Linked DNA regions of Mus musculus. The protein of the gene in region 2 purifies or fractionates together with the protein of the main gene of each other region. This does not show direct contact. Links are inferred from orthologs where the notes say so. Each region holds a gene or a part of one and is shown on either strand. Other genes may lie near its edges.

Evidence for each region. The genes of interacting proteins can lie anywhere in the genome.
Region 1: the proteins of Bnip1 (region 2) and Nbas purify together in Homo sapiens (co-immunoprecipitation; 3 studies listed by BioGRID and IntAct, with this or other methods). This does not show direct contact. The link is inferred for Mus musculus from reciprocal best matches to the Homo sapiens genes BNIP1 and NBAS.

What each region holds. Positions count from the first base shown.
Region 1 is NC_000078.6:13,267,848-13,273,342, forward strand, and holds the start of Nbas (neuroblastoma-amplified sequence), read left to right. Parts: upstream 1-1,279; 5' UTR 1,280-1,303; coding exon 1,304-1,417; intron 1,418-1,473; exon of another isoform or gene 1,474-1,647; intron 1,648-3,316; coding exon 3,317-3,371; intron 3,372-4,809; coding exon 4,810-4,846; intron 4,847-5,495. UniProt on the Homo sapiens protein: Involved in Golgi-to-endoplasmic reticulum (ER) retrograde transport; the function is proposed to depend on its association in the NRZ complex which is believed to play a role in SNARE assembly at the ER. Required for normal embryonic development.
Region 2 is NC_000083.6:26,778,602-26,785,503, forward strand, and holds the start of Bnip1 (vesicle transport protein SEC20), read left to right. Parts: upstream 1-2,477; 5' UTR 2,478-2,491; coding exon 2,492-2,575; intron 2,576-4,665; exon of another isoform or gene 4,666-4,731; intron 4,732-4,843; coding exon 4,844-4,936; intron 4,937-6,902. UniProt on the Homo sapiens protein: As part of a SNARE complex may be involved in endoplasmic reticulum membranes fusion and be required for the maintenance of endoplasmic reticulum organization. Also plays a role in apoptosis.

The sequences.
Region 1 (5,495 bases), on a different chromosome or scaffold from region 2:
GAGTGTGAACTTAGACAGGAACAAGAGTTCGGAGGGAAGGTGGCATTTAAACTACAACCGGAAGGAGATGAGAGAGCAATAGCAGAGCCACATCAGGTACAACCTCTGTGTACAAAGAACATCCGTGTCAGATCTCCTGATGTTTATGTGTGTCTGTTGTCTTAGAAACAGCAAAGTTGAATGGTGTGTGTGTGTGTGTGTGTGTGGCAAAAGTTTAGCTGTGAGAGTACAAGGTGCAGATGAACTTGGAGAGACATGGGAACAATTAGACACGCTCCAGTTGTGCATTTTATTATACCATTGCCTAATGCACTAAGTTGGTTATTCTACAGGATAATTTCTGAAAGGTATCTTGTGAATTTTCACTTCTTTTCAACTCAACAACAATGTGGTCGTCTTGGTCGTAATTGGCTCTGCTTACACTAAAGGGCCTTGCAAAGACAGGCATATGCTGAATGAATGAATGAATGAATGAATGAATGAATAAACGAGCAAGCAAATGAGGTAAGTTTCCCCTCTAGGGAATCCTCAAGCTGCCCTATCTTTATCGTCCTCCACACCCTTTCTCAGCTTGGCCTCTCTATTCACCCTGTCTGTTATAGCAACGTAATCTTCCTATGTCTTGTGCACCTCCTAACTGATATATTCTCTCCTGACTTCCAGTGAACCCAATTTCTACCTATAGTTGAAGGCCCAGGGCTGGGCCTGATGGCACATCTCTGTACTCTGAGCACTGGGGAGGCTCAGGCAGGAGGACTGGGTCTGAGGCAGGAGGACTGGGTCTGAGGCTAGTCCATGTTGTATGGTGATTTTTAGGACATCCTCTCTTACACAGCTGACAAGCTCTCCTTGTTACAGGGTGTCTTCATCAGCCTCACTGTTTTTTTCTAGGTGCCTAAAGCACCCTTCCTGTGAACTGAATAACCCCTTGGTACATTTAAAGTCCACTCTCCGAACACGTTCTGTGTTTGCAGAAGAATCTGTACATGAACACCAGCACTCTGGGAGGTTCTTGCAGCTTCGTAGACGCTGACTGGGTAAGAAAAGTTCAGTGACTTGACTCATTTCAGGCACAAATGAACAAAAAGTGGACCAGGGTCCAAGACATATCTCATACAAGACAAGGCCATTCTTAGACCCACAGATCTGTCAAGTTTAGCATTCCCTTTCTGTCATTTTTAGCATTCCCTTTCCGCACTTAATTCATTTCACTCTGCCAATCACCAGCGGCCGCGTCCAGGAAAGTATGACCCGCGCGAGTCGCCGTAGTGCCCCTCCCTCCACCACTCTGTTCCCGGCCAACATGGCGGCCCCCGAGTCAGCGCCGGCTTTGAGTCCCGGCTCTGCGGACGAGGAGGAGACGATTCTCTATGACTTGCTGGTCAATACCGAATGGCCACCTGAGACAGAAGTGCAGGTGAGCCGGGCTCTCTTTTTAAGGCTGTAGGCATGGCGCGGGCGCGGGCGCGGGGCGTGTAAAGCCACGTCGCGGTGCCACGCAGTGCAAGTGGAGCGGGGATAGCAGCTGTGTTGTCTCCTGGCAACGGCGGGGCTGCCGGGTCCAGGGCTCGCTGAAGGGTGTCTGTAGTCAGCCTTGGCTCCGAATTCGGCTGTGTATCCCCACTCAGGCTGTCACCCTCTCGGCAGGTCAGTGTCACTCTTCTTCCCTAGGTCCTTGTCATATCCGGACTTGCCTTGTAATCTTGTTACCTGTGGCGGGAGAATTTCGCAGGACTCTATCGTCCTTTAAAAGTCTCAGTAATACGCATTTACTAGTGTGTGTGTGTGTCTGTCTGTCTCTGTCTCTCTCTGTCTCTGTCTCTCTCTGTCTCTGTCTCTCTCAGTGTGTGTGTGTGATACACACACACACACACACACACACACACACACACACTCGGACCCCAGATATGGTGCAGGCTGCTGGGCATTCAGAGACAGTGTTTTCATGGAACTTGCAGTGTGGAGGAGAGATAGCCAATCCAGTGAACGTTTCTCATTACCAAGCCCGAAGTGCTGGCTGAGTAGAATGCCAAGGGAGTGGAGAGAAAGAAGCAGCGGTTCTCCAATTCTGCTGGAGACAAAGTTGTGGTGTTTGCCAACTTATGGACCCTGGAGTTACTAGTTTCCTAGGGAAAGCCTTCGGGTCATAGGGTGAAAGCAGGAGCCCAAGGCCCATTTACTTGACATACATGGTATCAAGTGCCTGGCATGCCCGTGTGTTAGGCCCTGGGGAAGCAGCATGGCTAGGAAGACTCTTAAATCTGGCCCAGTGAGCTCCTTTACCTTGTCTTCTGAGTATTTATTCTGCTTGTCTTCAATTAGGTCTTGTAATGGCAAAAAGCTGCATATATTGTTATTCGTTTCGGTTTCTAGTGAGTGACGTGGACATTTTGTAGATGATGAAATTGAGAGGCTGCTGCCGCCTTTAAGTTGGATAAAGATATCTAGCATTTCAGAAATGTCTGTAATACTGTCTCAATGCTTAGCACTATACGTTGATTAAAAAAACAACACGGAGTCAACTTATATTGAAATCTCGTTGTCCTCTGCCTTTTCTTATCTGCCTTCTTTATTGATTTCTACATCTGTTTCCTACAGCTGTTGCCCTATAAGCTCTGCCTGGGATCAACTTTATATCCCTCCACTGTGCCAAATTGTTCCCTGATGATTCCTTCATGTTTGTTAAGCGAGCGTCCTAGGGAGTAACGTATCTGTTCTTACTGATTACTTATTCATTTTATTCTTGGTAGAACTTGAAAGCACTCTACTCACTGTATTTGTTATTCTTTATTCTACAGACAGTGCCATTCAGTTTACGTTTGTGGACTCAAATTAATTACTGTAGTAGTTACATATCTGTGTTTTGTTAATAACATTGTCTCCATGGATACACAATAGGTAATCACTTTTCCTCTTAGTGAAATCTGTTTTAGGTCTCTGTGCCTGCCCTATAGACTGCATTGACTGGGCAATTAGTATTGTCTTTGTTCAAACCCAGGCCCCTGAACGTCATAGGCAAGTTCTCTACCACACAGCTCAGCTCTGCCCCTGTGGTTCCTTCTCTTTTCATTGGTGTTTTGATGTGGAAACTGTTTCTAACCTCACCTTGGGGTTCTTCCTGACAGGGATCTATGAACATAATTCTCACTCTTATTGCTACTACACACAGTTCATATTGCAACCTGTAAGAAGTTTTAAAATACTGATGCTGGTATTCAGTGCTCTGGATATAAGTAGAGAAGCATAAATTTAAATGTTTCAAGTATTATAAAATTCTCAACTGTAAGTTTTTATCTATTTATTTATTTTATTTTAGCTCAGAGGCAACCGAAAGCACGGTGCATCATTCATCATCACAAAAGCAATCAGAGGTAAAGAGGCCTTGCATTTTATGTATTATATAGTTCATAGACAGGTTTTTCTCCTTTCACAACTATGCACTTTACCTATGAACCAGGAGGAGTCTGAAAAAGAGTTGAGCATCAGCCTTATTGAACCATGAGGGCTTTATAATATTAATTAACAGATTGATATAGTTCTTCTAGGCTGACAAGTTAAGTGTTGTTTTATATTTATTTATTACATATTATATGTATGCATGTGTGTGTGTGCCTAAGTACATACATGCGTGTGTACCAGATGTGTGCCGGAACCCATGGAGATTTGAAGAGATGTAGAATCCCATGGAGCTGAAGTTATAGGTGTTTGTGAGCCATCATGAGTGTGCTGGGAGGGAACCAAACCTAGGTCCTGTGCAAGGGCAGCCAGTGCTCCTCGGCACTGAGGCAGCTCTCCAGCCCTCTGCTGTAATGGTTGGCTGTGGGGACTTGGCCACAGTGTTCTTTGGGAATGTAACTACCTGCCTTCGGGCCTTGAAGGCCGTCCTCAATTTACATCTGAGTTCCTTATGAAGAGAAAATTCAATTTAAAGAAATAGAAAATTTGTGGCTAGCTGTGATTTTATATAAGTTCTAATGTATTCAATTTTCATAATCATAAATGAAGTCTTGGTTTATTTAGAAAATATATATATAACTGATCAAAATAATTGTAGAAAAAACTGAAAGTATAAATACCGACATATTTTAATAGAATTTTCTTTATTTTGCAACTTAGAGATGACGTTCTTCAGACTTTTCTTCCGTGGTGTGCCTAGCTGCGTGCATGGAAGTGTGTGTGTGTGTGTGTGTGTGTGTGTGTGTGTGTGTGTAAGAGAGTGCATGAGAGAGAGAGAGAGAGAGAGAGAGAGAGGAGAGAGAAGAAAAAGGAGGAGGAGGAGAGTGTGAGAGTGTGATGATGTAAAACAGTTTTAAACCCTTTTAAAATTGGGTTTTCACAGACTTCTCCAGTTATTGCTTATATAGTTGCTACAATGTTCAAATTTATATCTTGATTTATATTTTGTATAGTTTTATTTTAAAGAGCAATTTACTATAATTTCTAGTAATGGCTTGATTTAACATCTCAAAACATTTTGAAATTTTGTAGTTGGGAAATATTTCAGTGTTTCAAAAACCATAAACTTGGATTTGTTTTGTTTTGTTTTTTTGAGACAGGGTTTTTCTGTGTAACCCTGGCTGTCCTGGAACTCACTCTGTAGACCAGGCTGGCCTCAAACTCAGAAATCCTCCTACCCCTGACTCCCAAGTGCTGGATTTAAAGGCATGTGCCACCACTGCCTGGCAAACTTGGATTTTAATATAAAAAGTTATATGATCTTGTAAAAGTTATAGTATATATTAAGTTGGCTTTATTTTATAAGTTGTTTACAAGTAACTGTTAAAGGACAAGTGTTTCTTTTTATTCTAGATCATCTGTTATTTTTGCGTCAGTACATCTGGTACAGGTGAGCCTTCAATTCTTACAAAGATTACTGTCTTCTGATTATTTAAGGGTTTGAATATCTGATTCTGGTGGAGATGTTGACATTCAGGCAAACCTGGTTTTTAGATTAGGATTTCAAGGATTTGGTGTAAGCTGATGCCACACACCTCAGTATACTTGCTAGTTCTTGTTCCCTTAGTCATTACTGATCATCTCCTGATGACCCCTGATTCCTCTGACGTGGGCTCAACTGCCTAGGAAATGCCCGTATGTTGGATCCGTGTGTTGTATGTGTCTTAACAACAAGAACAGTTTTACTCTTATTGTTACATCAGCTATGGTCAGTGGTTGAGTTGCTGTGTGTTACTTCTTCAGATTTTGCTTGTTGCATGCTTTTGAATTCTTTGAGTGTTGTTATGTTCAGCTGTGGTGCGAGTTTCAGCTCTGAAGGGGTGATGATATAAAACACTTTTTAAACCCGGTTTAAAATGTGCTTTTCGCAGACTTCTCCAGTAATTGCTTATATAGTTGCTACAATGTTCAAATTAATATCTCAATTTATATTTTGTGCAATTAGTTTTATTTGTACAGGGAAATAAGTAGTCTAATAAAGTGATAAACTTCTGCATTTGGCAGTGTTTGTAGTAGCTCTTTGCTAACCTTAAACTTAA
Region 2 (6,902 bases):
GTAGAAATTTCCCCAAGAAGGATGATGGGCTAGGATCCAAACACATGAGAACAATTTGTCCAGGGCTGACTGTGGGTTTTCTCCAGTGTCTTCAGTGGGGAGCTTTACCCAGAACATTGCAGTGATTTGAATGGCAACCTAGTTCTTTTAAAAGTTTTTCATCTTAAAATAGTGCTTGAATTAAAGAACAGAAAATGTACTAAATTGAAAGAAAAGTGTACTATGGAGAATACAGAAGAAACTTGAATGAAAACACACACTGGATTCCAGAGCAGGACCTGTCAACAACTTAGGAGTTACTGGCACTGAGTCACATTGAGAATGTGACTCCCATCTTAACAAACAAACCAAGAATATGTTAAAGTAGTGAGAGAAAAATAGGTGGGAAATATGTTGTAGTTGGAAGAGGATAAATCAAGTATTCAATCCTCTATCATACAGAAGTCTCTGTATAGAAACATTCAGAGCGTGAGTAGACGGGCAAGTAGAGTAGAGTTTGAAAGTAGTCTGGAATACACAGAAAAACAGGATGGTCAATGTGGCATCCAGAACCGAAGTGAAACAAACGGGGGGCCCTTTAGTGTTGAAGCCACTAAGTAACCTAGAAAGTGTGAAGCTGGTTCTGCGTCTCACACTGTGAACCACATATATTTCAAAATGGCTAAGCATACAAGTGGGTTTTTAAAGAATAAGCAGTAGACAGACACGCTGATCCTTGTAGAAGAGGAAGGACTTTTTAACATAGACCCAAGTCCAGAGTCATGAAGATCTCCCAATGCTATGCAAAATTATGGAAATTTAAATCCTCTTTAAGGCAAAAAAGCACCATCAGCAAAGTCAGAGTCTACAAATTCTGCAGCTCATGTGAATACTAATCTCAGTCTCATTCATTATGAGAGATGCAAAAGAAAGGAGTTTTTTTGAAAAAGAGACAAAATGATAACACCAGTGTCAGCACACCAAGCTGGTAGGGCTATAAGGAAATAGGCATTTCCACAGTTTTGCTCATGCAGTGTAAACTGATATAACCAGTATGACGAAACAGGCTTCACACCACAGTCCTGGCTGGCTTGGAACTCATGGGGATCTCCCTGCCTCTACCCCTTGAGTGCTGGGATAAAGTCATATGCTACCACACCCAGATAAAAAGGATATAGGAAAGCTTGTGTGGAGCTAAAATGCATGTCTAGTAGCTGCGGTGTTAATCAGTGCCTGTAATTCCAGCAGTTCTAGGTCATCCTTGGCTACATAGGTAGCTGGGAACCAGCTTGGGCTCTGTGAGACCCTGCCTCAGAAAAGCAAAGAAAATACTTAGGGCCTTTCACCTGTCCCGTGTGTTCTGTCATCGTCCTCCACCCCCTCTTCCTTCCACTTCTATAGCCTAACAAATCAAGTGCAGCTGCTGGGCAGAAGCATTTCATAGAAAATGGCCGCACGTAGGGAAGTAACTCCCAGAGTGTTTCTTAACAGTACATGTATAGCAACTAGTGAGCACTGAGTTCAATGCTACATTATCAACACCTCATTCCATCCTCTAGGTGACCTAACTTAGGAGTGATGCTACTGAGGAAACTGATTACAAGCCTGGAATCCAGGCCTTTGATACTTGCAGCCAGCTACTGAGCACCTTTTAGGAAGTGGGTGGTACAGGGTGCTTTGGGACAGGTAGGCGTGGAGACTGGGGGCTGTGTGTGCAGTTTGAGAAAAACATTTTAAAAAGAGGGAACCCATATCCAAGACGACAGAGCCTGGAGAATCCCGGAGGGTGGGGGAAAAGTGTCCAGTGGTGTTGAGGGCTTAAGAAATAATAATTTTAAAAAACACTACCCTTCTTTGAGGTTTGCACTGACATTGTTTCTATCACACCACACAGTCAGAACTACTCCTATGAGATACTTGGAATCCAATTCTACACAAAGGGCAGGACCAGAGCCATAGAAATGTGTAAGGACAACAATGCAGGATCATGGTTGTACTAATGGAGGTGCCCCAGTGACCTGTATTTAAGTCTGCACCTTTACAAGTTTTGTGTCTTCCTCCATAATGCATACCTACTGTATACATTTTGCTTTAAATTTTAAAGAAAAAAAATGTAACTTTGGTGACATCCGAATTGATCCTTTTTTTTTTTCCATCCAAAAGGTCACTAGAATAGCGGGTTGTTGTTGTATCTCTAGTACTGGGAACAAACCTGAAGGCCATGTGGCATGCCAGCCTATCATCACCTGAGTTGTATTTTCCCCTCCCCCCCACCCCAACTCTAATGGTTCTTCATAATCACATTCCACTTTTCCGTTTAGTAGGAGCAGACCAGAGAAGCTGTGCGTGTTCTACGTGACAAGAAAAGTTTCAGGTCTGGACTCTTGACCTGGTTTGATCCACACGGGGTCTCCCGCAGCATCACATTTGAAGAAGTACGGAAAGGCGGGCAGGAGCCACGTGAACGCGTTCAAGCTTGGCTGCTGCCGCTCGCCGTAGCCGCATTTCCAACATGGCGGCTCCCCAGGATGTCCACGTCCGGATCTGTAACCAAGAGATTGTCAAATTCGACCTAGAGGTGAAGGCGCTTATCCAGGTACAAATTCTTAGGCTCCTGTCCGGCTCTCGATGGCCGCCTTGACATCTTCCAGAATATTCGCGCCTGGTCCGGTTCCAGGATGGCTCCTAAGGCACCATTCGGTCGGTTCCCCGAGATCACTGACCTTCAGGCTTTTCTTTTGTGAACTGTTGGTTTGCCCACCCCTGAGTTACCCTAACACGCCGCTCCCTTTCCTTGGACTGCAGCCGTGCTGGGCTAGCCCGCCCACCCGCATTCTCGGCTGTAGCCCCGCCCCACCCCTCGCCCTGCTCGCCTCCCACGCCCACTTCCCTAAGTTAGGGACCCTGAGGCACCCAAAGCCACCTGGCCCGACAGTCCCTGCCCGAAGCTAACTAAGTTAACCTGGGACGTGGTTGTAATTTTTTGAACAAAGAATTCAAATATTGTGCAAGATCCTGGGTCAGAAGGCAGGCAGTGCCAGTATTAGGACCTGGATGGGGAAAGCCAGCCTAGGAAAATCATTTTAGAGCTTCCCTACCCGGAAACAGACTGGAAAATGAGGCGCTTATCTGGAAGCAGGTCTTAAGTAGGAGACAGTAGTGCAGGAACACAAGCAAGAACAGGGAATGTAGAAATGGCTCCAGAGTTTGGCAAAAAGAACCCAACCGGCTCAGAATACAAGCTGTGACAGCAAATAAGGAAAGGGTAGGGGTGTGACTCCGCTGGTGAGGACTTTGCCCAGCACTGGGTTCGCCATCCCCAGTGCTGCATAAATGGGCTGTGCCTAGCTGTTGGGGTAAGCTTGGCTTTACTAGCCCCTATAAAAAGGAGCATGGAGAGTAGTGCTCTCTGGTAAGCCAGATGTACACTCTGCCACATTAGCAGTTTATCCTGTGCTGTGAGGAAGTGTTGATTTTGTGAGTAAGCTAGAGAACAGGTAAAGAAACGCCGCAAACTTTACTCCTGAGATGTGCAAACAAAAAAAATGGGCCAATTCTAGAAAAATAAACAAGATTTATACAAGTGAGATTACCAGAGGCTGGGGGTAAATTTAGCTCAGAGTAGAGTTAAAGTTTAGCCATGTGCAAGGCTCTAGTTTCAGTCCTCAGAATGCACATGTAAATACATATACATACATAACACAGAGTTGCTAGGGTAGTGGCTCTAGCACTTGGGAGGCATAAGCAGGACCATCATGCATTTGAGGCCAGCCTGTACTACATAGAGTCTTCAAAAAAACAAAACAAAAAAACCCTTATATCCAAAATTTGAAAAGTTGGGTTTTCATATTATATCATAATATAAAATTATGTAATAGCATCATAATACTTCATATTATCATAGTTTCCTGTTAGGTAGGCCTCTGGTGACATATGTGTTTTGGGTTCTTATGGTTACTAGTGAGTAAGCATAGCCCCATACATTGTATTCTTTCAGTGTTCCAGCTATTCTGCTAAGTGTTCTACACAGAGAAATACCATCTTGACGTAGGTAAGGTGAAGAAATGGAGGCACAGAGAACTGAAGTTTTCCAAGACTGCACTAATAAATTGCTATACGCAGGATTTGAATATATGTAGCTTAAGTCTAGAACCTGCTCTAAAATTTGGCTCTCATAATTCTGACTTTCTTTCCAGAAGCAAATTCTCAGTTCATCTTTAAACGTTTTTGACTTGCGACAGATGGTTTGTAAAAATCAGACTAAATTAACTTTGTTACAGGTCACTAGGGATTTAGTTGGAAGGATCTGAACTTACAGTATTTTTTAGATGTCTATTTCTGTTGAACATGGAAGCTGTTTAAGCCTTTCCTAGTGGCACTTTGTTAAACATCTAAGACGAGGTTGAGGTTTACCTATCTACACACACAATGCATATGGAGTCTATGTGCATGCAGGGGTGTGTATTCATGTCTGTGTGCATTTGTGCATGCGTGCACATGAGTCTCTCTCTCTCTCTCTCTCTCTCTCTCTCTCTCTCTCTGTGTGTGTGTGTGTGTGTGTGTGTGTGTGTGTGTTTTGCTGCTGTTGAAAGCCAGGGCTCCAAGTATGCTCTGCAAGTGCTGTACTACTGAACTGTGCATCCAGTCTGTTTATTCATATTAGGCTCTCGGTGTTAATCTTACAAGGAATGAGGAAGCTGAAAATGAGGAGTTTGCTCTTGTGTGGAGGAGAGCAGCACTGAGCAGGACAAGGTAGAGCTTGGGCCACCTTAGCTGTGTCTGAATCTGCTTTCTCACTGTGCCGATGAGGACACTTCATTTCATTGACGGGAGAAAGGTCCCTCATCTCTTCCTTGCCTTCCAGGATATTCGAGATTGTTCTGGACCCTTAAGTGAGCTTACTGAACTGAATACTAAGGTGAAAGAAAAGTTCCAACAGTTAAAACAGAGGATCCAGGTAAGTGAGGCTACAAAGCCTGTTCTGGAAGGGTGGGTAGCAGGGGTGCGTGCTCTGGCCAAGAAGAATTTTTGCCTGAGAGTTGACCAGGTCCTTCACATGCCACCTGGAGAGAGTAGGAAACATTGTGACTGTGAGGGTGACTGGACTAACAAAGTTTGGAACCTACACACTCATTCATTCCCTACTTGAGTCCATTGCCAGAGTTTCCTTGGTGTTTCCGGTGCTATTATTTTGCACAGTAGTAGCCTCCTCCCGATTTCTGGAGTTACCGCCCCCACCTCATGCTCATGACCTCACTTTCCCTGTGGTGCGAGTGTTGTCTCAAAACACAAATGAGAAGGAAATGTGACTAACAGCCATCTCCACTGCTGTGTCCTAGGGATGAGTGCTACGAATCTGCCCAACACTGGCTGGGTCTAGAACCACCTGGCTTTGCTGCATCTGGTAAATGATATTGTCCCCAAACTGTCCTTCAACAGATACTGTTCCTTAGCAGATGAAGACAGTCTCTTCCAGAGCTGGCAGGAACGTAGGCAGAAGGAGAGCTTAGACAATGCTTCTGCCTTGAACTGACTTCAGAATGTCAGCACTGTCACTGTACCTGGGTGATCTCCATCTCCGCTATTGCTTCTTCCATCTGAACTTTTAAAAAGCATCTTGCTTTCTCTGCGTTATAAACATATCATATGTGCGGATGTATGGGTCCACAGCCATTGGTCTCCTTTATGTGTCTTGGGGATGTCCTTTATTTCTTCTCTGCACCCCTCCTTCTCCCAATAGGTAACTGTTCTGATCTGATCCTTCCACGTCTTCCCAGGGTTTGTTTCGCTGATATGTTCCCACTGTAGGAGTGGACATGCTGCAGCCTAACCATGTGGGGGGCATGTTTATACAGCTGTAGTTTTTTCTAGCCATTTCTTTCCTAACAGGTATCCATTTGGGCTGCTTGCCTGCTTTAATTCTTAGAGCTAATTCATTTTCTTAAAATGCCTTTCTTCAGACTCTGCAACTCTAAGGAAGACTGTCTCCTAAGTGCCCGCATGCTTACCTGGTGTTTATTTCCTTCCCTGGGTTTAGGTAAATGTTCTCACGTAGATTCACTCATTTGTCATGTTCTTACCCCTGCCTCCCTCCAGCCTCTCCTTCAGCATAACTGTGTGGCTGGCATCTGGCAGGGCGATAGGCCAGCGAGGGAGGTTTTATCTGCGCTTCCTCAGCATTTGCATGCCGTCTAGATCTGGAGACTCAAAAAGCACTGGGGCAAATGCTTTTTGTATTTCAGCAAGGCTGTATGCTAATAGGAGAGAACTGGCCTCCATCTTCCTACACAGTACATACATCGGGCAGGGCGCTGTGTAAACCTCTGTCTGCATGGTGGTCTGCTGCTGGAATTCGGCCACAGCACACTTGTATCTTTCCAAAGAGTCTGGGTTCTCTGACAACTGCCAAGCGGCCTTTTCTAAGGAAACTGTTTCTCTTTCCTCTCTTCTATCTCCCATCTTCCTTGTCATCCATTCTGCTTCTTAGTGACCCACTGCCAGGCAGAAGAGACCAGTGTAGCAAAAACTAGAATACAAGCTCTGTGTGCAGTGACGGCATTGTAGGGAATGGGGTGGGGTCTAAACAAAAAATATAGCAAATAACTGGTGAGATTTGCACTTTTTTTTTCTGAGACAGGATCTCAGTGTGTAGTTATGGCTGTACTGAGACCCGTCCTGCAGACCAGGCTTGCCTCAAACTCACTGAGATCCAGCTGCCTCTGCCTTGAGTGGTGGGATTAAAGGTGTGAGCTACCACGCCCAGTCACACCTTGTACTCCCCACCCCCCAATTCACAGTCAGTTTTTCTTTTTTCTGCTCTAACAATATTTGTGAGGCATAAACCTGAATGTAATTTCTGAGCTGTTCAAATGACATCGGTAAGCATGCTTGTTCCAAACCAGCATATGCAAATTTGTACAGGG